Oryzias latipes: one gene and its partner. The protein of the gene in region 2 purifies or fractionates together with the protein of the main gene of each other region. This does not show direct contact. Links are inferred from orthologs where the notes say so. Each region holds a gene or a part of one and is shown on either strand. Other genes may lie near its edges.

What was found.
Region 1: the proteins of ptpn11 (region 2) and sos1 purify together in Homo sapiens (affinity purification with western blotting; 4 studies listed by BioGRID and IntAct, with this or other methods). This does not show direct contact. The link is inferred for Oryzias latipes from reciprocal best matches to the Homo sapiens genes PTPN11 and SOS1.

Annotation. Positions count from the first base shown.
Region 1 is NC_019859.2:93,407-104,094, reverse strand, and holds part of sos1 (son of sevenless homolog 1), read left to right. Parts: intron 1-5,318; coding exon 5,319-5,980; intron 5,981-6,168; coding exon 6,169-6,250; intron 6,251-6,403; coding exon 6,404-6,520; intron 6,521-7,065; coding exon 7,066-7,169; intron 7,170-7,332; coding exon 7,333-7,555; intron 7,556-7,625; coding exon 7,626-7,745; intron 7,746-7,818; coding exon 7,819-7,981; intron 7,982-9,229; coding exon 9,230-9,347; intron 9,348-9,419; coding exon 9,420-9,592; intron 9,593-9,671; coding exon 9,672-9,788; intron 9,789-9,861; coding exon 9,862-10,135; intron 10,136-10,530; coding exon 10,531-10,575; intron 10,576-10,688.
Region 2 is NC_019870.2:1,405,068-1,415,755, forward strand, and holds the end of ptpn11 (tyrosine-protein phosphatase non-receptor type 11), read right to left. Parts: intron 10,350-10,688; coding exon 10,236-10,349; intron 8,428-10,235; coding exon 8,331-8,427; intron 8,255-8,330; coding exon 8,175-8,254; intron 8,094-8,174; coding exon 7,935-8,093; intron 5,809-7,934; coding exon 5,677-5,808; intron 5,605-5,676; coding exon 5,450-5,604; intron 5,378-5,449; coding exon 5,310-5,377; intron 3,464-5,309; coding exon 3,312-3,463; intron 3,235-3,311; coding exon 3,116-3,234; intron 3,044-3,115; coding exon 2,974-3,043; 3' UTR 2,938-2,973; intron 2,047-2,937; 3' UTR 492-2,046; downstream 1-491. UniProt on the Homo sapiens protein: Acts downstream of various receptor and cytoplasmic protein tyrosine kinases to participate in the signal transduction from the cell surface to the nucleus. Positively regulates MAPK signal transduction pathway. Dephosphorylates GAB1, ARHGAP35 and EGFR.

The DNA.
Region 1 (10,688 bases), on a different chromosome or scaffold from region 2:
CAACAGGACCAGAATAGAAAGTAGTCCCTTTTCTGAGGCCAATAACAAGTCATTAGAGACTCTAACTAGTGCAGTTTCCGTACTGTGGTGAGGTCTAAACCCCGACTGAAAGTGTTCAAAGTGGCTGTTGTCCTGTAGGTGGCAGTAAAGCTGCTTAACTACAACTCTTTCTAGGATTTTAGAAATAAAGGGCAGGTTTGATATCGGTCTATAGTTGGCCAAGATGCTAGGATCCAAACTGGGCTTTTTCAGAAGAGGTTTAACAACTGCATATTTAAAAGACTGTGGCACGTAACCCGTTTCCAGAGAGGTATTTATCATTGTTAATATGGGATCATTAATTAGGGGAAAAGTTTCTTTAAAAAGTCTAGTGGGAATTGGGTCTAACAGACACGTTGAGGATTTGGAGGACGTAATAATTGATGTTATTTCCACTTGATCCACAGCAGTGAAGCAGTCTAATGTTACAAAGGTTTCTATGGATGCCTCCATTTCTACCGCTTCAGCCTGTTCTGGGCTGATAGTAGGAATAACTTGATTTAACTTATGTCTAATATTTGAGATTTTACTATCAAAAAATGTAAGAAAATCATCAGAGCTGAGAGAAACAGGAACATGTGGTTCTACTGAGCTCTGACTGCGAGTTAATCTAGCAATAGTGCTAAAAAGAAATCTTGGGTTGTTTCCATTCTCTGATATTAAGGTTGAATAGTACTGGCTTCTAGCTCTACGCAGAGCTTTTTTAATAATTTAATAGGCTATGTTTCCAGGTATTCAGAGACTGCTCTGAACCGGAGCGGCGCCATTCTCTTTCCAACTTACGGGTTTCTTGTTTAAGAGAACGAGTTTCAGCGTTAAACCACGGTGCTACTCGGTTTTGTCTGACGAACTTAGGTTTCAAGGGGGCAACAACATGGAGTGCACTCCTGAGGGCTTGTAAGGCATCATTAACAAAGTGGTCATTTATACTAGGACTGATACTATGGGAGCTGGACTCAGAGTATTTTCTCAGAATATCACTAAGTACTGGCTGAACTGTGTGTTTAAACTCAGACACAGAACGGTCAGTTAAGGTTCTTCTAAGCTGTTTCTTATTCACTGGGACAGAAGGATGTTCCAGTGTAAACTGGAAGGTAATCATAAAGTGATCGGAAATGATGGGGTTAAGACAGGGGTGGGCAATTCCAGGCCTCGAGGGCCGGTGTGTCTGCATGATTTCCAGATACTCTTCCCCTACTCATGGCTGACTACCTGGTTCAGGTGTGTCCAGCCAATCAGAACATGCCAGAGCAGGGTATGCTGGAAAACATGCAGGACTGCGGCCCTCAGTGCCCACCTCTGGGTTAAGAGGAAGGACACTCAGCTGGCTGATCTCTATACCATGGGTTAGAACAAGATCCAGGGTGTGCTTATGACAGTGAGTGGGTTCATTCACACTTTGGGTGAAACCAACATCATCTAATAAAGCTGCAAAAGCCTTTCCTAGACAGTCACTGGGGTCATCAACATGAATATTAAAATCCCCTAATATTATAGTTTGATCAGAATCTAAGACAATAGTCGATAGGAAGTCGGAAAACTCAGTTAAAAATTCTGAATATGGGACGGGGGGGCGATAAATAATTATGAGTAAAACAGGTTTTGGAGTTTTCCTGTTTGGGTGACTTAAAGACAATATGATGCTTTCAAATGAATTATAAGCATTTTTAACTTTAGGGCTGAGAAGTAAGCTAGACTGTGATATTACTGCCAAACCCCCTCCTTTACCTGAAATCCTGGATTTCTGATAGTTAGCATAAGTGGGGGGGGTTGCTTCATTCAATCTAACATAGTCATCCTGATGGAGCCAAGTTTCTGTTAAGGCTAAAAGACTGAGGTTGTTATCAATGATTAACTCGTTGACTAAGAGGGACTTGGAGGAAATGGATGGAATGTTTAATAAACCGCAATTAATTACATCTTAATTCTGCTTGTGAGAACTGCTGTCTGTCACTTTGAGGTTTCTATGATGCGCTCCTTTCTTTTGTCTTTCAGCACATAAGCTAAAGCTAGGACCTGCTTGACTTTCCCTGCATGGGTTTTGCACCGGCACTAACCCTAAGGGAGGCTCAGAGGAGCGTTTTCCCCTGCTGCTCTGCGCCCGGGTCTCGTCTCTGGATTGTCAGGTTAACAGACTAAGGCTAGCAGAAATGTTTCTAGAAAGAAGAGCGGCACCGTCCCGGGTGGGATGGACGCCGTCTCTCCGCATGAGACCGGGCTTCCCCCAAAACGCGCTCCAGTTATCCACAAAACCAACGCCGTTTTCTGGGCACCATCTAGAAAGCCAGCGGTTAAATGATGAAAAGCGGCTGTACATTTCATCACTGACTAAGTTCGGCAGGGGACCAGAGAAAATTACAGTGTCGGACATCGTCTTAGCCAGTTTACACACCGAAGCTACGTTTAACTTAACCACCTCTGATTGTCTCCGTCGGGCATCATTACCGCCTGCGTGAATCACGACTCGACGGAACCTGGACTTACTCTGAGCTAACATCCTACGGTTCCCCTCGATGTCACCAACTCTGGCCCCCGGATAACACCTGACTGTAGCCGCTGGGAGCTCCACGTTTCTAACTTCAGAAGAGCCGAAAACCAGAGTTGGGGGTTCAGCGGGTGTGTCACTGAGGGGGGAGAACCTATTACTAATGTGGAGTCTCGGGTGTTGTAAGTTTTAGCGTTTAGCACTATGTTTCCTCCCAACCGGTGCAAACCCCTGTGTGTCTCCCGGCTGCTGGGAAAGCGCTGGGGTGCTAACTAAGTTAGCCCTGGCTAGATGTAAGATCTTAAGCCCGAGTCATAAAGGTCGGGTCGGGCACTAAATGACAATCATTACGTTTGGGTCGGTTCGGGCCGGGCTTCTCTCACGCTGACTTTTTAATAAATATATTGTAATGGCTGCAAAGAAGCTCCTTAGGCGGGCGGTTGTCAAACAGCTCTTTATTAATCCTGTATGTCAGAACGGTCACTGCACGAACCGAAAGGCACAGCCAGCTTCTTCTTACTCAGAGGGAGAACGTTCACCGAACACGCACACACACACACACACACACACACACACACACACAGGTAGACCCCGCCCCCCAGTCACCAGCCCACCGTTGATTGACATACACTGTGGTCCAGCAACTGGCAGAAAAAGGGGGAGCTGGCCACCCGCAGCTCTGCGCACGTGTCGTAGAACTGCACGATATGAGGAAAACTCGCGATATGCGATATTAGAGATTAATATTGCGATAATGGTATAATTTGCGGTATATAAACAAATAACAAAATAACCAAAAACATCATTACCATTTCATTGTAACAGTTTAAAAATTATACTCTAAATGACCTTTGTCGACATAGGAGACAAACATCTAACATAATAGGCCTCCATCTGATTGGTCAACAACGTGAAGGGCTCCATCTGATTGGTCAAATGCATAAAGGGATTTATTTCATTTGTTAAATGCTTCAAGCTGCCATAAGGTTGTATTAACACATTTAAGGTGTACGATTTATTGCGATTTTCGCTACTTTTTGCGATATGCATATTGCAGAGCTGGATATTGCGATAACGATACATTTGGGGTATATTGTGCAGGCCTAACGTGTCGTGAATGTAATCTTCCCTCCGCAAGCCCGTATCTATTTTGTTTATTTTGTTTATTTCTCCGCGTAATGAAGCGAGTGCGCATCAAGATGTCTCTTTCACTCTCTTTGTCTGGCCTCTTATTCTGTCTTCCAGCGTTATTTCGTTGTGCAAATGCATTTATCATGTAGGGAGGATCCTATGCGCAGCGCTTCCGGCGGAACTCTATGCCACAACAGCGAGCTTGACTACGCACGCGGCTGCAGTGACCACTTTGTTTATGTCGATTTTTTTACCTTTAGGAAATCTGGGTTTTTTTTTCCTGCCAAAAATACTATGGGATAAATTGAAATTTCGGTTTGCTTCGGGCTCGGGCCTGCAAATCAAGTTAATTGGTCGGGTTCGGCCGGGGTTTGCTTTAATGCCCGTGGGCCTGTGTCGGGTCGGGCTGGATTTTTTAGGCCCGTTCTTAACTCTAGCCCTGGCTAGCCGGCTAAGCTTCCACTGTGCGGAGCCGCACTCCTAACTGATCCAGCTTGGCCTCCAAGTCTAACACAAGAATACACTCAACACATGTACCACAATCTACACTAAAGGAGGCAGGCTAGCGGTGTTTAGCTAAAGAGAAGCAGTTTCATTAGCAAACTGAGAAAAAGTGGACAGCAAGCGGTTAACATTAGTGTATTCGCTGCTAAACGGTACTAGATTTTAATATTAAACCAAATAACAATTAAAGTAAGCAATAGTAGTCAGGCTAATGCCAAACAAGAAAGCAACAGTCAAACACGATCAGCACTAGATAACGCTCATCCGGAAATGACGTCACAGGAACAGCTGGCTTTTGTGTTGGCTCTTTTCCTTCTGCCCTGTGCAGCACTGATTCTGATCTAATCACTGATACTGCTTGATTTCTGCCTCCTGATGCCACCCTCTGGGGTATAAGGGTATTACGTTACTCTGTCACTCACGTTATTACAGCTCCGACATTTACCAATGGCCTGATATTTACAAATGGTTAAGTTGTTAAAGACTAAATAAGAAAAATACAACTACAAGTGAAAAGAAATATACTTTCCCACAGTACACTGATGATGTAGTAGTGAACATGTTCTGTGGTTGAAATGACTGTTAGAAGACTTTTCTGAGAAGTACTAGATAAGTACTAGAGGAGTACTAGATAAGTCATCTGACAGTCATAACACAAGTACTAGATTGGACATTTGCATTTACCACACAACGACCTACCGATCATTGGCCTTATGTCCCACCTGTAAAAACGTCTGCACACAAATAACAGGTTGGATAAAAAGTCAGTTATTCTAAAGAACAGAAAAGTGTCAAATGTCTACGAAAACATCTGAAAGCTTAACTGCTCTGAGTAGATTTTGGATCAGAATCTCTGTTTTTATGTTGTACAAAGTGGATGCAGAAAATATACACCCGGTGTCAGAAGATTCCTGACCCCCTATTGTTTTAGCACCATCTGTCCATCACTAGAGGCCTTCAGCTCTGATCTGTTTGCTGAACACGTTAAAAAAACATTCAGAGCTGTCAGTTATCTGCTACGCTGCTCAAAGATCTGCTTTAAAATGAAATGATGGCCACACAGGGACAAACAGGAGCTGTTCAAGGATGAGATTCAAGCTCTGAGCTATCAAAGGTCTGCAGGTGCGACTGACTCCTACCTCTTCTTTGCTGCTTGCAGTGAGTCGGCGTGTCGCCTCTACAGCCACCAGATGAAGGGGAAGCACCTGGCCATCAAGAAGATGAACGAGATTCAGAAGAACATCGATGGCTGGGAGGGGAAGGACATCGGACAGAGCTGCAACGAGTTCATTATGGAGGGCACGCTGACGCGGGTGGGCGCAAAACACGAGCGCCACATTTTTTTGTTCGATGGCCTCATGGTCTGCTGCAAGTCCAACCACGGCCCACCGCGGCTGCCTGGCACCAGCTCGGCCGCAGAGTACCGTCTCAAAGAAAAGTTCTTCATGCGGAAAATCCAAATCAACGACAAGGACGACAAGGAGGGAGAGTACAGGCATGCCTTCGAGATTATCCTGAAAGACGGGAACAGCGTGGTGTTTGCAGCCAAGTCCGCAGAAGAAAAGAACAGCTGGATGGCAGCGCTGGTCTCGCTGCAGTACCGCAGCACCCTGGAGCGCATGCTGGACACGGCCATGATGCAGGAGGAGAAGCAGGAGCAAATGAGGCTGCCGGGAGCCGAGGAGTACCGCTTTGCTGAGCCAGACTCCGAGGAAAACGTGGTGTTTGAGGAAAATGTCCAGTCAAGGTCTGGAATTCCCATCATCAAGGCGGGAACGGTCCTGAAATTGATCGAAAGGCTGACTTTCCACATGTACGCAGGTGAGCTGTGAAGTCATGCAGATCACACAGGTGAGACGAGGTCTGACAGGTCAGACCGGAGTCAGGCAGATATGGCGTGAGGTGATATAAGTGTTCAGGTAGAGTTGTGAAGTCAGGCAGGTGAAACCTGGGGAATCTAACCCCAACCCTTTATTAGGGCTCAGCTCACAGGTTTCCTGTTTTTTCAGATCCAAACTTTGTACGGACCTTTCTGACCACTTACAGATCGTTCTGTAAGCCTCAAGAGCTTCTAGACCTGCTCATTGAAAGGTGAGCTCACCTGTCAAGTCATTGGAACTGGGCAGCACACCTGTACTCTTGTTTTTGCATTATTCAGAGTGAAAACTGAAATGAGTCTGTTCACAGCTAAAACCTCAACAGAACCTGTACAAGAAACCTGGCTGAGGTTCTGGTCTGTTTCAGGTTTGAGATCCCAGAGCCAAGGCCGGCTGAGGCAGATCCGACAGAAGGAGGGGATCAGCTGCTCAGCGCCGAACTCAAACGCTTCCGGAAAGAGTTTGTTCAGCCGGTCCAACTCAGGTACACTGAGACAGAATCGAAGGACCCGTCTGTGGGATACGGGATAGACGTACCAGACTCACTGGATCCAGACGTTGTTCAGACAACCGGTCATGGAAACCAGCAGTCTAAGTAGGAAGGTGAACTGTGGTCTGCAATGAAGGACAGATGACCCACCAGCTAGGTGTTTGCTGCTGTGGGAGGAGCTGGCCAGGACCTTCAACAACGAGCAGGGGGCGGAGTTTAGTGATTTAATAGAAACTTTCTATTCAGAGCCTGCAGTAATAAGCAGGTAGACCGGGTCAACAGTTCATATTTAGTCAAAAGGTTCCCGAGCGGGACTTGGAAGGACTTTTTAAATGTCTGTCAAAAGCGGCCTCATTGGGTCGCTGCCATGGAGCAAAAGCCACCTTGACATCCGTCTTCTGCCCTCATCCAACCAGCCGACCTCCAGCTGAACCTGGAGGATGGGTCTTCTGCACACATCTCCTCTTCTTCTGCTGCTTCAGAACATTTTAAAGAAATCCTACAGACTTGTGTTTGATGTGTGACTCCTCCCCCTGCAGAGTGCTGAATGTTTGTCGACACTGGGTGGAGCATCACTTCTACGACTTTGAGAGAGACATTCATCTGCTGGGTCAGTTGGAGGACTTTATAGCTTCTGTTAGAGGTGAGCACCTGCTTCAATCACCTGCTTGAGCTGTCAGGTTGAGGTCCAGTCCAGACCGCAGAGGTCCGGCTGATGTTTGTGGCTCACAGCAGATGGGCTGAAGGTCTCAGTTGAGTCTAAAGTCTCGGAGGCTCAGGTAGGTTAACCGCGTCATGTGTTACAGGTAAAGCAATGAGAAAGTGGGTGGAATCCATCACAAAGATCATTCAGAGGAAGAAGCAGGTTCAGGTTAGCCTGCCGAGCCATAGCATCACCTTCCAGAACTCTCCTCCTCCTATTGAATGGCACATCTGTAAGCCGGGAAACTCAGAGCACTTTGACCTCATGACTCTGCATCCCATCGAGATCGCTCGCCAACTTACACTGTTGGAGTCTGACTTCTACAGGTAAGGCCAGGCCCACACACATCCACAGCTGATCGGGCGGCGTCCGACACAACTCTGATCCCCCGCGCAGGGCTGTGCAGCCTTCAGAGCTGGTCGGCAGTGTGTGGACCAAGGAGGACAAAGAGATTCACTCTCCCAACCTGCTGAGGATGATCCGTCACACCACAAACCTCACCCTGTGGCTGGAAAAGTAAGATGTCCAAGCGGCCGCCACGAGCTGTGACCTGTTTGCTTTGTTGCGCTGAGGCCGTTGCTCTCCACAGATGTATCGTGGAGGCAGAGAATCTGGAGGAGCGGGTCGCTGTCGTCTCTCGGATCATCGAGATCCTGCAGGTTTTTCAGGAGCTCAACAACTTCAATGGTGTTCTGGAAGTCGTCAGTGCCATGAACTCCTCCCCTGTGTACAGACTGGACCACACCTTTGAGGTAGGCAAGCGTAGAAAAGGCTCCTCTGCATCAGGACCGGTCTTTGGTTCTGGTTGGTAAGAGTAACAAGTTTAGATAAAGCAGAAGCCATTGCTTTTTATTGCAGTTGAAAGTTGAGGAGTTTTTAGTGCCTTTAGGCAAGGTCCCTGAGCCTCTGTGATGGGTTAGGGGTACAATACAACCCTCGTTTTCATGTACAACTTAAAACACCAGATAAATGCAGGTCAAGCTGTGTCACGCTGTCAACACGGATGTCTATTATGATAGTTAGGGTGGTGTTTAGACCATCGGCTCACAATAGGGTGGTGTTGTTCTCTCTGGGCGTCTCACACCTTTCTGCAGGTTCTCCAACAGTCCAAACATTACTCATTTACACATTTACACATTTTGCTCTTTCCAAACGGTCTCTTAGAACCAACCTGTGGTCACAGTTGAACAACCACACACCTGTCACCTGACTTAGCGCTTTGCAAGCCGGGTGGACTCCTGCAACCAGAACCAAGCAGGTGTAGATTAAGGAAGACAAACTCTCTTTTAAAAGGAAAAATTCTGCAAAATGATTTGTAGTCATCAAATACATGATTTAAAAATATATATTTGTCATCTTTCAGTTGCTCCTTTTAGGTTTTACCACAGCGAATCATCTTCTTCCATGGAACCTTCTCCTCATGTCTTTCATCCACGAACCTCTGCTTTCCTGGTAGCTCCAACCTCAGCATCCTTTCACCACCATCATCACTGTTTCTCCATCTGCTTCCCTGCATTGATCTCCAGAACATCCATGATGTGTTCCTCTGATGGATTCATTTCTGATCCATCCCATGTGTTCCTCTGTAGTTTCCTTAACTCTGAACATCTTCCTTCTTCTCCTCCATTCCTGATCCTCTCACTCTCAAAGATCTTCCTAAACCCTCAGAAACTCTTCTGTCACCTCTCCTAAAGTCTTGATAGGTGATGACAGGTTGATGGGTTACATTTTATTTGTCACCTAAAGGCAAATGACAAAAACAGTTAGTCTACTGGTTCACATGAACCCTGTAGCTGTTTTTTTCCTACTAGGCTATCTTACTGAATGCTCCAAAGGTTCTTTTGTTCTCCTTGCGCATTGGACCTTCCTCATTTTGGTGGGCTGGTCTTGTACTTTCATCCAGCTCAGTTGGGAGAACTTCCTCTCCCCAGGAGACACCACGGTGCTGAAGCTCAAGTGTTGTAGAAAAAATTCTGAACTGATGGTGCTTTTGTTTACAGCAAATTCCCAGTCGTCAGAGGAGGATCCTGGAGGAAGCCCACGAGCTGAGTGAGGACCACTACAAGAAGTACCTGATGAAACTGCGCTCAATTAACCCTCCCTGCGTCCCCTTCTTTGGTACAGCCTGACTGGTCTGTGGACCTCTTGAAGCCAGACGGCAGCTTACGCTGGGACATGTCTGTGTCACAGGTATCTACCTAACAAACATCCTGAAAACAGAAGAAGGAAACCCCGACTTCCTGCGCAGACATGGAAAAGACCTGATCAATTTCAGCAAGAGGCGGAAGGTGGCCGAGATCACAGGAGAGATCCAACAGTACCAGAACCAGCCATACTGCCTGAGGGTGGAGAGCGAAATCAGGGTCAGTGTGTGCATGTGTTACTTCCTACCTGTGGAAACCACCTTTTCTAAGCTGATTGTCTGTTTTGTTTGTGGTGCAGAAATTCTTGGAGAACCTGAACCCGATGGGGGACCTGTCAGAGAAGGACTTTGCTGATTATCTGTTCAATAAGTCTTTAGAGATTGAACCTCGAAACACTCGATCCCTGCCCCGATTTGTAAGTGTAACCATGGTAACGTGATCTGGAGAAGGATTCGGCTGAATCTGAACCTATCTCAATCCTGGTCTAGGCCAAGAGATACACCTGTCCTCTGAAGAGTCCAGGGATCCGCCCAACCTCAACAAGGCCCGGCACCATGAGACACCCAACACCTTTGCAGAATGAGCCCAGGAAGATTAGCTATAGCCGCATACCTGATAGTGAAGCGGAGGGTGGGGCAGTCTCTGCGCCAAACTCCCCCCGGACCCCCTTGACTCCGCCTCCAGCATCAGCTGCTTCCAGCTCCACAGATGTGGGCAGCGTCTTTGACTCGCCGCAAGGGCCCAGCAGCCCCTTCCATTCCAGTAAGACACGCCCACCAACATCCTATTGAGACTTCTCGCCAAAAATAAACTAACCACTCAATCAGCGAGGCTGACCTTCCCACGTCACAGCGCCCAACTCCACCCATAATCCCTGCTTACATGGTCAGGTCACATGACCACATTTTAAATCAAAATTCTAACATTGGTGGGGGGGTTTATGGTTAGGTCACTGGTGAGTTTATTTGATAGAATTAGCAATTTGACGTGCTAACTCCTCCCACAAAGTCTCTAAAGCCTTTGCTAATGTTAGCTCCCGCCCACTGGGCGCTTGAGGACATCAGAGTTTACCTGTAACACCTGCAGTTTGACTGGCACAGACATGAGCCTTGAGTCTGACTCCTCCTCCTCACCTGTCTTTCCTTTTCACTTCTCAGCCTGCGACAGCATCTTCGCTGTCATCTCTCTGCCTCGTGGCCCACGTTAGTATGACCCACTTGACTGTCATCCTTCCACCTGTCAGAGCGCCTCAGGTGTGCTCAGCAGCTGGGCAAGCTTTTAGGAGGCTCGCTGATGCACACCTCATGTTAGCAGA
Region 2 (10,688 bases):
TATTAATTACAATTTAACTTTGTGGAATCGATGACGTCACATCAGCAGTTTTAAAAACAAACTAGTGAGCGTCGAGTCTGAACTGCTTCAATTAAAGTTCAGGGCTCTACATAGTTTTTTAGTCTTAGGGGAATTCAGACACAGAATCTGATTCTACATTTTTTGTCACATTGATGCCCGTTAGTTTTTAGGTTTTAAAGATGTCCAGCTGTAGTTGTTTTAAAGCGCTTTTGGTGTCCATGCGTCATACATGTCCCTCACTTACTCTCCTTCTTTGTGTTTTGCTCAGATCTTTTTTTGACACTTTATGAATCTAAATCTGATTTCAACCATGAGGCCGTTTCAGATGCAGATCCTCAAAGACGCCGTCATCATCCTGAAAGCTGCAGGCGTGGCGTCTCCTGGTCTGTAGTGTGTGTGTGTGCATTTGTTGTGTGTGTGTTAAACCTCACTTGTTCTGTTTGAACCACAGAGGAGGACGGACGGCGGCGTGGTGAGCCATGATCCTTTATTTTTACAGATGTTAACAGGGTGAACTGCATTGAAAGTCATATAATACACCTCTGAAGCTGTGAGAGCGCCCCCCCTCCCCCCCCCCGTGGCATGGGGGGGGCGCCGCATGATAAATTGGCATATAGATATGTTTTAGTACATTCTCCCGCCCTGCTGAACGTTAAAAAATAGAGACGGCGCCGTGATCCCGGTTCAGGGTTTGTGTTCACATTAAGGAGTGCCGCCGCTCCACACAGGCAGGCGTGTGCACCGAAGGCACGTCTAGACCGCGTTCATGATGGTTAAGGGGCGTGGCACAGAGCACGGCGGGACTGGGGGGGTGAAGCGGCCGCCGACAGGAAGCAGGCCATGAAAACAGAACCTGGATGAGAGCTGCAGCACCACCAGACGGCAAGCCGGACACAGACGGCGAGCCGGACACAGACGGCGAGCCGGACACAGACGGCGAGCCGGACACAGACTGAGGCCACGTAAGGTGGTGGGGGCTGGAGGTCAAGGAGTAGCTGGAGATTTAAAAAAAACAAAAACACTTTGATTTCAAGCTAAATGTCAAAGAAAAACCCCAAGTTTGAGTTCAAAAGCGCTCCACAGAGTTCTGGATCTCATAAATTCTGGATCCACAGAGTTCTGGATCCATTGATGCTGCCGTTTGGCTCCAGACTGAAATGGCAGAAACAGGATCGTAACTTTGGGCTAAAACAAAAAGAACCTCTGCTTCTTTTCCGGGTCGGCGTCGGCCCGTCTTCACGCTCATCTCCAGTTTAGTTCCGAAGTTCTGCACCGGTTTCCTTTAGTGTCATTTCTTCGTCAGGCTCCGTGTGATGACAGGTCGATCCGACAGCAGCAGACGGATGAGTTTGTGGAAAACCACCTGATCCAGGTGAGCTCCAGCAGCAGCCAATACCAGCACATGGCGTTCAGAGGGGGCGGGGCTAGCAAGGGTTTCCTGGTGGGGTGGGGGGACTGTGCACTTAAAAAAATCTGTGTCTAAAGACAAAACACAACAGCCCCCTCCCGCAGTAATGCTAAGTGAAGTGGGGGTACACCCCGCTTTAAGGCGGTTCTGAACCGAAGGCGCAGCTTTAAGGGCTCTGAGAACGGGTCGGGTTTCTGTCAAGAACCGGATTTGAGCAGAAACTGGATCTCGTCTCCAGGCTGAAGGCTGAGCTCAGAGACAGGGGGGGGGGGGTTAGTTTGGCACGGGACCTTCTCCATACTCAGTTAATGCAGGAAAAAATAAGCAAGGGGGGGTGGGGGGTTAGTGAGGTTAGTTGCCGGCCGGCGGCCCCCACCGGCGGTGATTCCAAAAACCAAACCCCGGCTGCTTTCAGGTTTGGGTTCGTTAAGGATTCTCAGATGATCACAGTGGTTTCCAATTCAACTGGGGGGGGGGGGGGGGGGGTGGGGAATGAGCGAGAGCAGGATGACGACCCCCCCCAGTCCTCCTCAAGTCCAGCCTCCCCCGTGGTTGGGTCCCCCCCGTCGTTCCACGTCGTCACTGTCAAGGTGTGGTTGGCGAACAGTATGGAGATCCTGGGGGGGGAAACCAGGCGGGGTTAGAGCAGAGAAACCGGAGCTCCGCCCACTCCGCCCTCCTTCCACCACAGGAAGTGACTCTTCCTGCACGAACATTTCTCCTGTTTTCAACATTTCCACCTTAAATAATGGCAGACGTCCCTGCAGAGGGTTTCTGTCTCCTGCTAATCAACGGTTGCCAGGCAACCGGCTCTTCATCTGTCCTCTTCAGAGACATTCATCATCCTCCTGCTAGGTATAGAAATGATGCAGGTTTGGAGGAGAAGTTAGCAGATTTGCAACGTTTTTCACTTCAAATCATCCTGTTTTCTAGAATGTCAGGAATGCTGCCATGTGCTGCAAAAACAGCACAGAAAACGTGACAAAGAACCTTTTTTTGTTTTTGGGGACATTTTTACTCCAAAAGACTCAGATTTGTTCAACTTTATTCGGTTTTTTATTTTTAATTTCTGTTTCAACAGACCTGGGATCCTTTTTTTAAATATCCAGCTTTATCATATTTAAAATGCTTCGTTTGAAACAACAAAGCTCAATTGTTCATAATGAACAAAAAGATCGCTTTATGGATTCAAACCTTTGGCTTTGTGCCGTTAGCGCCTGAAAGGCTGAGCGGGAGCCAACGGAGATTCACACCTTTCCTGTTTTACTTTGAAGTTCTTGTTCTGTTGAACTCCTTTTCATTTGTATAAATGTGAGAGCTCTAGAATCATTTCAGGAGTTCAGGAATACTAATGTCATTTTTAAACTGTTTTTCTCTAAGAATCTCGAAAACCCTGGCAGTAACTGAATCCTCCAGGTGGGTACAGAAATGGAGCCGATGGAGCTCGTCTCCACGCTCCTGGCCTCCCACAGAGCCAGCCTGCTCCAGCCTGTGGGAGGGGCGTTCACCTGGATGAGGGGGGGCCCCGGGGTCGCGGGCGGCTCTCATCTGAAGCTCTTCTGCTGCTGCATCAGGCCCACGTTCTCGTAGACTCTGGAGCTGTCGTCCCTCATCCTGACAAACCCAAACACACGTGAGCGGCGAGGAGACGCCCAAGACGCGGGAGTTCGTGCCGACGCCACTCACTCTGTGCAGGTGGGGGTGGGGAGGGGGGTGCAGGGGGTCAGGGGGCCCTGCTCTCCAGCGGTCAGGTCGGACAGCGAGTACTTGATGTTGGTGTACTCCCGTCCTTTGATCTTGCTTTTCTGCAGAGAGGAGGAGGAGGAGGGGGGTCGGCGTCCGGGACGGAACGGCGAAGGAACGGCGACAGCCCGACGCTCACCTGCTCCTCCTCGATGCGCCGCTGCAGCGTCTCGATGTAGTGCTTGACCGCCATGTAGATGAAGCGGTACTGCGCCTCCGTCTGCACCATCCCCGAGCGCTTGGAGCGGACCATCTGGATGGTCTTCGGCACGTCCATGTCGCAGTCCACGCCTGCAGGGGCAAAGGTCAAAAAGGCCTCAGAGATGCTCAAGGCTTCAACACCCAGAGCTCCACATGTGTCCGTCAATACCGTCTCTTTAGCAGAAACACGACAGTTCAGAGAAAAGGTTTAAAAAGATTTTTTTTCTCTTGATAAAAATCCATTTCAGAAACTACATTTACTCTCTGAAAAGTATATTTTCTAAATTCTCTCAACTTACAGAATCTGTTACTAAATACTTTTTTGCCTCACTATAAAAAAATAGTGAAATCAAATGTTAAAGTCTAAGTTCAAGACAAAAAAAATTAACTACATTTACAGTAAAGTCACAGTTAAACCAAAGTCAAGAAGATTAAAAGTAAATATAAAAGTTACAATTTCATCAAAATAAAGTCACCGTAAATTTAAACCAATTTGAATAAGTACCAGTAAAGTAGAAATAAATACAAATAAAAAGAGGGGAAAACTAAAGTAAAGTAATCTTTAAGTTCAGTCAAAGCTAACAAAGTTACATGAAGGTAAATGTAAAGATGACAAAGTATAGTTACATGAAAAAAAAGTAAATGTAAAGGAAAAGTAAAGAAGTAAGTTAAATAAAGTTAAATTATAGTAAAACAAAGTAAAAGTATAGTAATACTTCTGTTAAAGTAAAGCAAAGGTTAATATAAAGTAAAAGCAGAGTAAAACTTGATCCAATAAAAGCCGAATCCCACTTAAAGTAGAGTAGAGTAGAGCAGAGTAGAGCAGACCAGACCAGAGCAGAGCAGAGTAGAGTAGAGCAGAGTACAGTAGAGTAAAGTAGAGTAAAATAGAGTACAGTACAGTACAGTACAGTAAAGTAGAGCAGAGCAGAGCAGAGTAGAGTAGAGTAGAGTAGAGCAGAGTAGAGTAGAGTAGAGCAGAGTAGAGTACAGTACAGTAGAGTAAAGTAGAGCAGAGCAGAGTAGAATAGAGCAGAGCAGAGTAGAGCAGAGTAGAGTAGAGCAGAGTAGAGTAGAGTAGAGCAGAGTAGAGTAGAGTAGAGTAAAATAGAGTACAGTACAGTAGAGTAAAGTAGAGCAGAGCAGAGTAGAATAGAGCAGAGCAGAGTAGAGCAGAGTAGAGCAGAGTAGAGTAAAGTAGAGTAAAATAGAGTAAAATAGAGTAAATTACAGTACAGTAAAGTAGAGCAGAGTAGAGTAGAGTAGAGTAAAATAGAGTACAGTACAGTACAGTAAAGTAGAGCAGAGCAGAGTAGAGTAGAGTAGAACAGAGTAGAGCAGAGTAGAGTAAAGTAAAATAGAGTACAGTACAGTAGAGTAAAGTGGAGCAGAGCAGAGTAGAGTAGAGTAAAATAGAGTACAGTACAGTAGAGTAAAGTAAAGTAGAGCAGAGCAGAGTAGAGTAGAGTAAAATAGAGTACAGCACAGTAGAGTAAAGTAGAGCAGAGCAGAGCAGAGTAGAGTACAGTAAAATAGAGTACAGTACAGTACAGTAGAGTAAAGTAGAGCAGAGCAGAGTAGAGTAAAATAGAGTACAGTACAGTAAAGTAGAGCAGAGCAGAGTAGAGTAGAGTAAAATAGAGTACAGTACAGTAGAGTAAAGTAGAGCAAAGCAGAGCAGAGTAGAGTAAAATAGAGTACAGTACAGTAGAGTAAAGTAGAGCAGAGTAGAGTAGAGTAGAGTACAGTAGAGCAGAGTAGAGTAGAGTAGAGTAGAGTAGAGTAGAGCAGGGCAGAGCAGAGCAGAGCAGAGCAGAGCAGAGTAGAGTAGAGTAGAGCAGAGTCCAGCCTGTGCTGGTTGGTTTTACTGTTTTACTGCAGACGTGCAGAACGTTCTTCAGCCCGGTCCGGGTTCTGGAGGATCTGCAGGACTCACCTTTTTCTCGGATCACGTCTATCAGGATGTCGATGACGATGAAGGTTCCGGTCCGACCGATCCCCGCGCTGAGGACAGAAGCAGAGCGGCTGAGCGGCTGCTGCCGTGCGTCGGCCGTCCGGCGCCGCCGCTGCCGTTACCTGCAGTGGACCACGATGGGCCCGGCGTCCGCGATGCTCTCCTGCTTCAGGTTGACCTCCTCTAGGAAGTCCAGGACTCCGCCCGGGTCGGTGGGGACCCCGTGGTCCGGCCAGGCCCTGAAGTGGTACTGCCACACCGTGCGTTCCGTGTTTCCCTGAAAAAAGCGTCAATCCCGATGAGGGTTTCTGGGAAGACGGTGGCGGCGAATTCCGTCCGAGCCGCTCACCTGCCCCACTTTGGAGAGTTTGAGCTCTCGAAGGATGTAGTCGTGCGCGGACGTCTCCCTCACGTTGCGGACCCGCATGGCGCCGTACTCTTTCAGCGCCGACATGTCGGGCCAGTACTTCACACACTTACTCTGTCAGAGACACACAGTTATTCTCTCTGCTCGCTTCTGAGCGGCGAGGAAGAGAAGCAGAGGGACGTCAGACAAACCCAGATTGAGGCAGATTAGAGAGGAAACAGTCCTGGGGCCTGTTTCAGAAAGGAGGTTCGACCAACTCTGAGGATAAACTTGAACTCTGAGTTGGTCAATCGGGAGATTAACAACTCTGAGTTTTCTGTTTCAGAGAAGCTGATCGGAGTTAGGTCAATCACCTCTGAGTGGACTGATTCAGAGTTAAGCGTGCGCACCGCGACTATAAGAAGCCATTATCAATGGAGCGCAGATATCATGAGTCACCATGGCAACCGTGAAAAAAAGAGGTTTGCGTATTTTTCTCCAGCTGAACTTGACGTGCTGCTGCAGAGTTACAGTGAATATGAGCACATATTCCAGAAGAAAAGCAACACCGCTGCATCTGCAAAACAGAGACAGTTAGCGTGGGAAACATAGCTGCTCAAGTTAATGCCTAAGTTTGCATTTAAATCATTGTTATAAAATATTGGCTGTAATAACTTTCTAAATAGCGTAAGGAGTGAAATAAAAAATGGCGATATTTAGGTTTACTTTTGAAGTGTTATTCCTGGTGTAAATGCATGAAATGCTGCATAGTGTACAGAACCAATCTGGGGGGGGGGGATGCATTTAACGTCGGTAATGTTTAGAGGACTTTTTTGTTAACCTTCCCCTCTTGCAAACGTTGGTCAGTTTAATATTAATACATGCAATTTTTTTTTTTGTGTGTTTTTAAAAGTGAACTTTTGTCTACTGTTGAACCTTTCGCTGCGCGAAGACTTCTATTTTCTTTTCTCTCGTCTTTCCGACCGACCGTGGTCAGAAGCGCAGGGGAGATTTCCTTCAGGGCTGAAGGGAATTCTCCTTCGGGGTTCACTTCCCGTTGGAAACCCTCAACCTCCAGAGCGGATTAAGAATGACTCCAAAACAGTTATTCTGGGAATGACACCTTCTCTTTATTTAACTAAGTGCTCCGTCCTCCGAACACACAATATATACCACGCACACACCTCCGCTCCGCTCCGTGCTCACCCCCCCCCCCCCCCATCTGCACCTGCACTCGCCCCTCCCCTTGTCTCTCGTGGATCGCACCCCGCTCAGCACACACACACTGCAACACTACCCTTGTATTGATCAAGTGGTATAGGTTTATATGGGATTAAGAAAGTAAGCAGTGCTAGCAAATTGTGTTTCCAAAAAGTAATTGTTACATTAATCTAATTCAATGTCCCTGATTTCATTTTCATGTAGATGCAATCCTGCAGGAATTAAAAGAACATGGCAGCAGCTAAAAATGAAAAAAAAATCGAGTCTTCTCAAAATCCTCGTACGAGGTAAATGTAATTCTCTATGAATTAATGCAGCCTCCTCGTCTATTGGGTCCTCCAAAAAAGAACAAGCCATTCTTGTCACTTAGACCGTCTCTGTGTGACGGACATGTGGACAATGAAGGTTAAAGCGAAAAATACCGCTTCGTCTTTAAAAAGGGGAGGGGACCGGCAGAAACCTTGAGTTTAGAGAATAAAACCTGCTCCCGACCAGGTTAGGTTCACAGCATAAGTAACCATGGATACTGACTCCGAGTAAAAGTTACCTCTCTTTCAGAAACGGGTTTGACTTACTCTGCTTTCTCTGGTTTAACAAACCTCCCATTCTGAAACGGAAAACCCAGGGTTTCCCTGATTTCAGGGTTAACGCACTCAGAGTTTACACTTAACCTCCTTTCTGAAACAGGCCCCTGGAGTCAGACATTTGTTTGGATTCAGTCAAACAAACTCAGATTATCTAAAACCCTTCAATGATTAGAAAGAAGTTTAATACAAAAAGGAGTTTTTAGAATGAAAAAAGCATATTTACGGTACAGACCAAAAGTTTGGACACACTGAATGAGAAGCTGTGAATGTACTGTATATGCTCAGTTTTATATAGATATTATACTTATATATATTGATATATTCCACAAAGGAATTCAAAGGGGAAGAAAGGAAAACGGTCAGATCACATTGGTCAAAAAAAGCTGAAAGCCTCCAAAAGATTTTGCTAAAAAGAAGCGATAAATGTATGGAAGACTTGTCGGCGGCCCTCACCTTTCCTCGTTCCACCTCTTTGGTTGTCATGACGATGACCCGCGAGTTCTCCTGAAACACCATCCTCCAGAAGTCACTGATGGTGTTCTGCAGGCAGCCCTGAGTGGCGATGTAGCTCTTCTTCAGCTTGTGGCTGTTGCACTTGGCGTCCAGCTCCGGCTGCAAACCGGCAGAACCAGAAGCTGCACAAACCCGAGCGCAAACGGACCCGCAGAGCCGGACGGCGAGAGGGAGGCTCACCATGATGATGTTGGCGTTGATGTAGTCCGAGCCGGGCTCGTTGGGGTCCCCGTCGTTCAGCACCACCCGCGTGTGGTCGACTGCAAACACAAACGGCAGATGAGAAGAGGGCGGGGTCGAGCGGCCTGGAGTGGCGGCGGCGCCGGGGGCTCTCACAGGGCAGGATGTTCTTGTAGCGGTTCTTGTTCTTGTTCTCCGCCCTCTGTCCCTCTTTGCGGCTGTACAGCAGTTTACACTCCTGCTGCTGCAACGTCTGCATGCAGAGAAAAGAGGAAACTCCAGGTTCAGATCTGCTTCTGGACACAGCTTTAGCGGCGTTTGGCAGAAAACGCCGACACAAACGTGAAGCTGCACGTTCATGTAAACACAAATTCTATTATTCTATTTTATTCATCATAGCCGCTTTTTCAACAACTGTAGTTTATTGAGGACGTTATTCCAAATATCTGTACACGTCTATACACTCAAAAAAATTGGATGAACTCAATTTAATTGTGGGCAGGATTTCCATCCAATAAATATGAGTCGCACCAAATCAAAAAAATTCCTCCATGTAATGAAATATAATCGAGTTAGTCGAACTCAATTTTATCAAGAAGACAAAGCAAAAAACATGGTGTGACACTATTCTGGAAGGTAGAACCTCCACATGCAGACAGACTGATCCACTGAGCCGACTCTCCTGTGGCCTCAGGCATCCAACACTATAAAGACAGAATCATTTTCTACATAAATGAGGTTTGTCGTCTTTGATCTTACTGGGAGAAACCCAGTTGAATCCATTCCAAGCCACAGTACCTTTTTTACGTGGAAAAACACGAACAAAAGTTCAAAGGATTTGAAGGACCAAAAGTCATGGCAGGCATTAGACGAAAGAGCTGAACGTTTTAATAGTTGAATGGTTAAAATAGGTGAAAAATTGTAGCCGTAAAACGGCGGAAGATACTATAAGAAGAATAAATAAAGAGAAAGAGGAAAACAGCATCCAACCAATTAAAGAATAGAATCACAGAAGAAATGATTTTGCAGAAGGTGCAGTCTGCACATGTGCACAGCATGCCCCCTAATTATGAATTTATTTATTCAATACTGGAGTTTATAGGTGAAACTATTAATACATTTTATGTTAGGTCAATTAAATATAGATACATATTTTTAAAATAAATATATTTAAATAAAACAAACGGCATTTACTTGTGTTGTTACATGAAAGAGGGTTTGAATCCCTTTTTTGAGTGTAGTTTTTTCCCAAATACTTTGTTTTTTTTAAAAGTAAATTCAGAAAATGATGAAGTGACATTTCTGCACAGCAATCACTCCTCATGGTTATTGATCTGTTAGAATAACACAAAGACTGCTGCCCCTAAAGCCAAAACTACACTTCTTCTTCTTCAGGTGATTGAAGCTGAACTTCTGGAAAAAAACACAGGAAACCGGCTCCATCTGCTTTCAAAATAAAAGTCTTCTGACATGATGAGGACTTCCCCTCTGGCTCCCCAGACTGCTGACATTGCAGGGACGTTTGGAGCTGTAGGGGTGTCTGAAAGTGTTTCTTTGAGGAGGAGCCGCAGTGACCCACGGCTGGGTATTCCTCTGCCGGTGGGGGGGGTCCGCGTCTCGCTGGCACGCCAGGAAAAAGGCTTTTCTTTAGGCGGGTGTGCTCTGAAGCACAGAGGTTCATGACTAAATGTAAGTATTGGCTTCCATGACAACGTTTTAAAGTTATAAACCACTGTATTATGGCAGCTACACGCCAGCGGGGGAGACCGGCGACCGTTGATGATGTCATGGAGTGGTAGTCATGTCCGGATTTTCCATAACCGTCTTGGAGGGATAAATGTCGGGGTAGGGGATGAATTCAGATTCAGCCTAAACGTTGGAGGAATGTCTTTTGAGTTCCAGTACAAACACTCATCAAGCACATCAGAAAGATCCTTCATGATTCTGACCGTTAAACGTGCTGCTGCCGCCGCTGAGGTTACGGTGGGATTTCAGAGTAAAAGCACGCTCCCTGTGCCTTCAGAGTAAAAGCAGGTTGCTCCTCTTTCTCAGACCACTCACCTCAAACTCCTCCCAGAAGCCCTGCTTCACCTTGTCCGTGGCCTCGGCCAGCTTGCTGAGCTCACGGACGCGGCTTTCGATCTCCGCTGCGTTGATGCGCGTCGTGTTGAGCGGCTGCAGACCACAGCAGAAAACATTTAGTGCAAAGGTCGCTCCTGAAGGTCAAGACGGCGCCACATTAGAACATGAAGACATTACGGAACAGACAGGAAGAGATTATAGACATGTTTCATGCAAACGGTGAACAGAAACTTGGTGTTTACAGACTTTTATATATTTATTTGAAAGATAATTGGCTGGTTTCTTCAGACGAGTGTCAACGACAGGAAAGAATCCTCTGATCCATGTCGACACACGGTGTTAACATGCAAACCAAATGTCCCGCCACAGGGAAGGTGTGCAGGAATGCCTTCTTTCCATCCATTTAAATGTAAATACATCTACTTTCTAAAG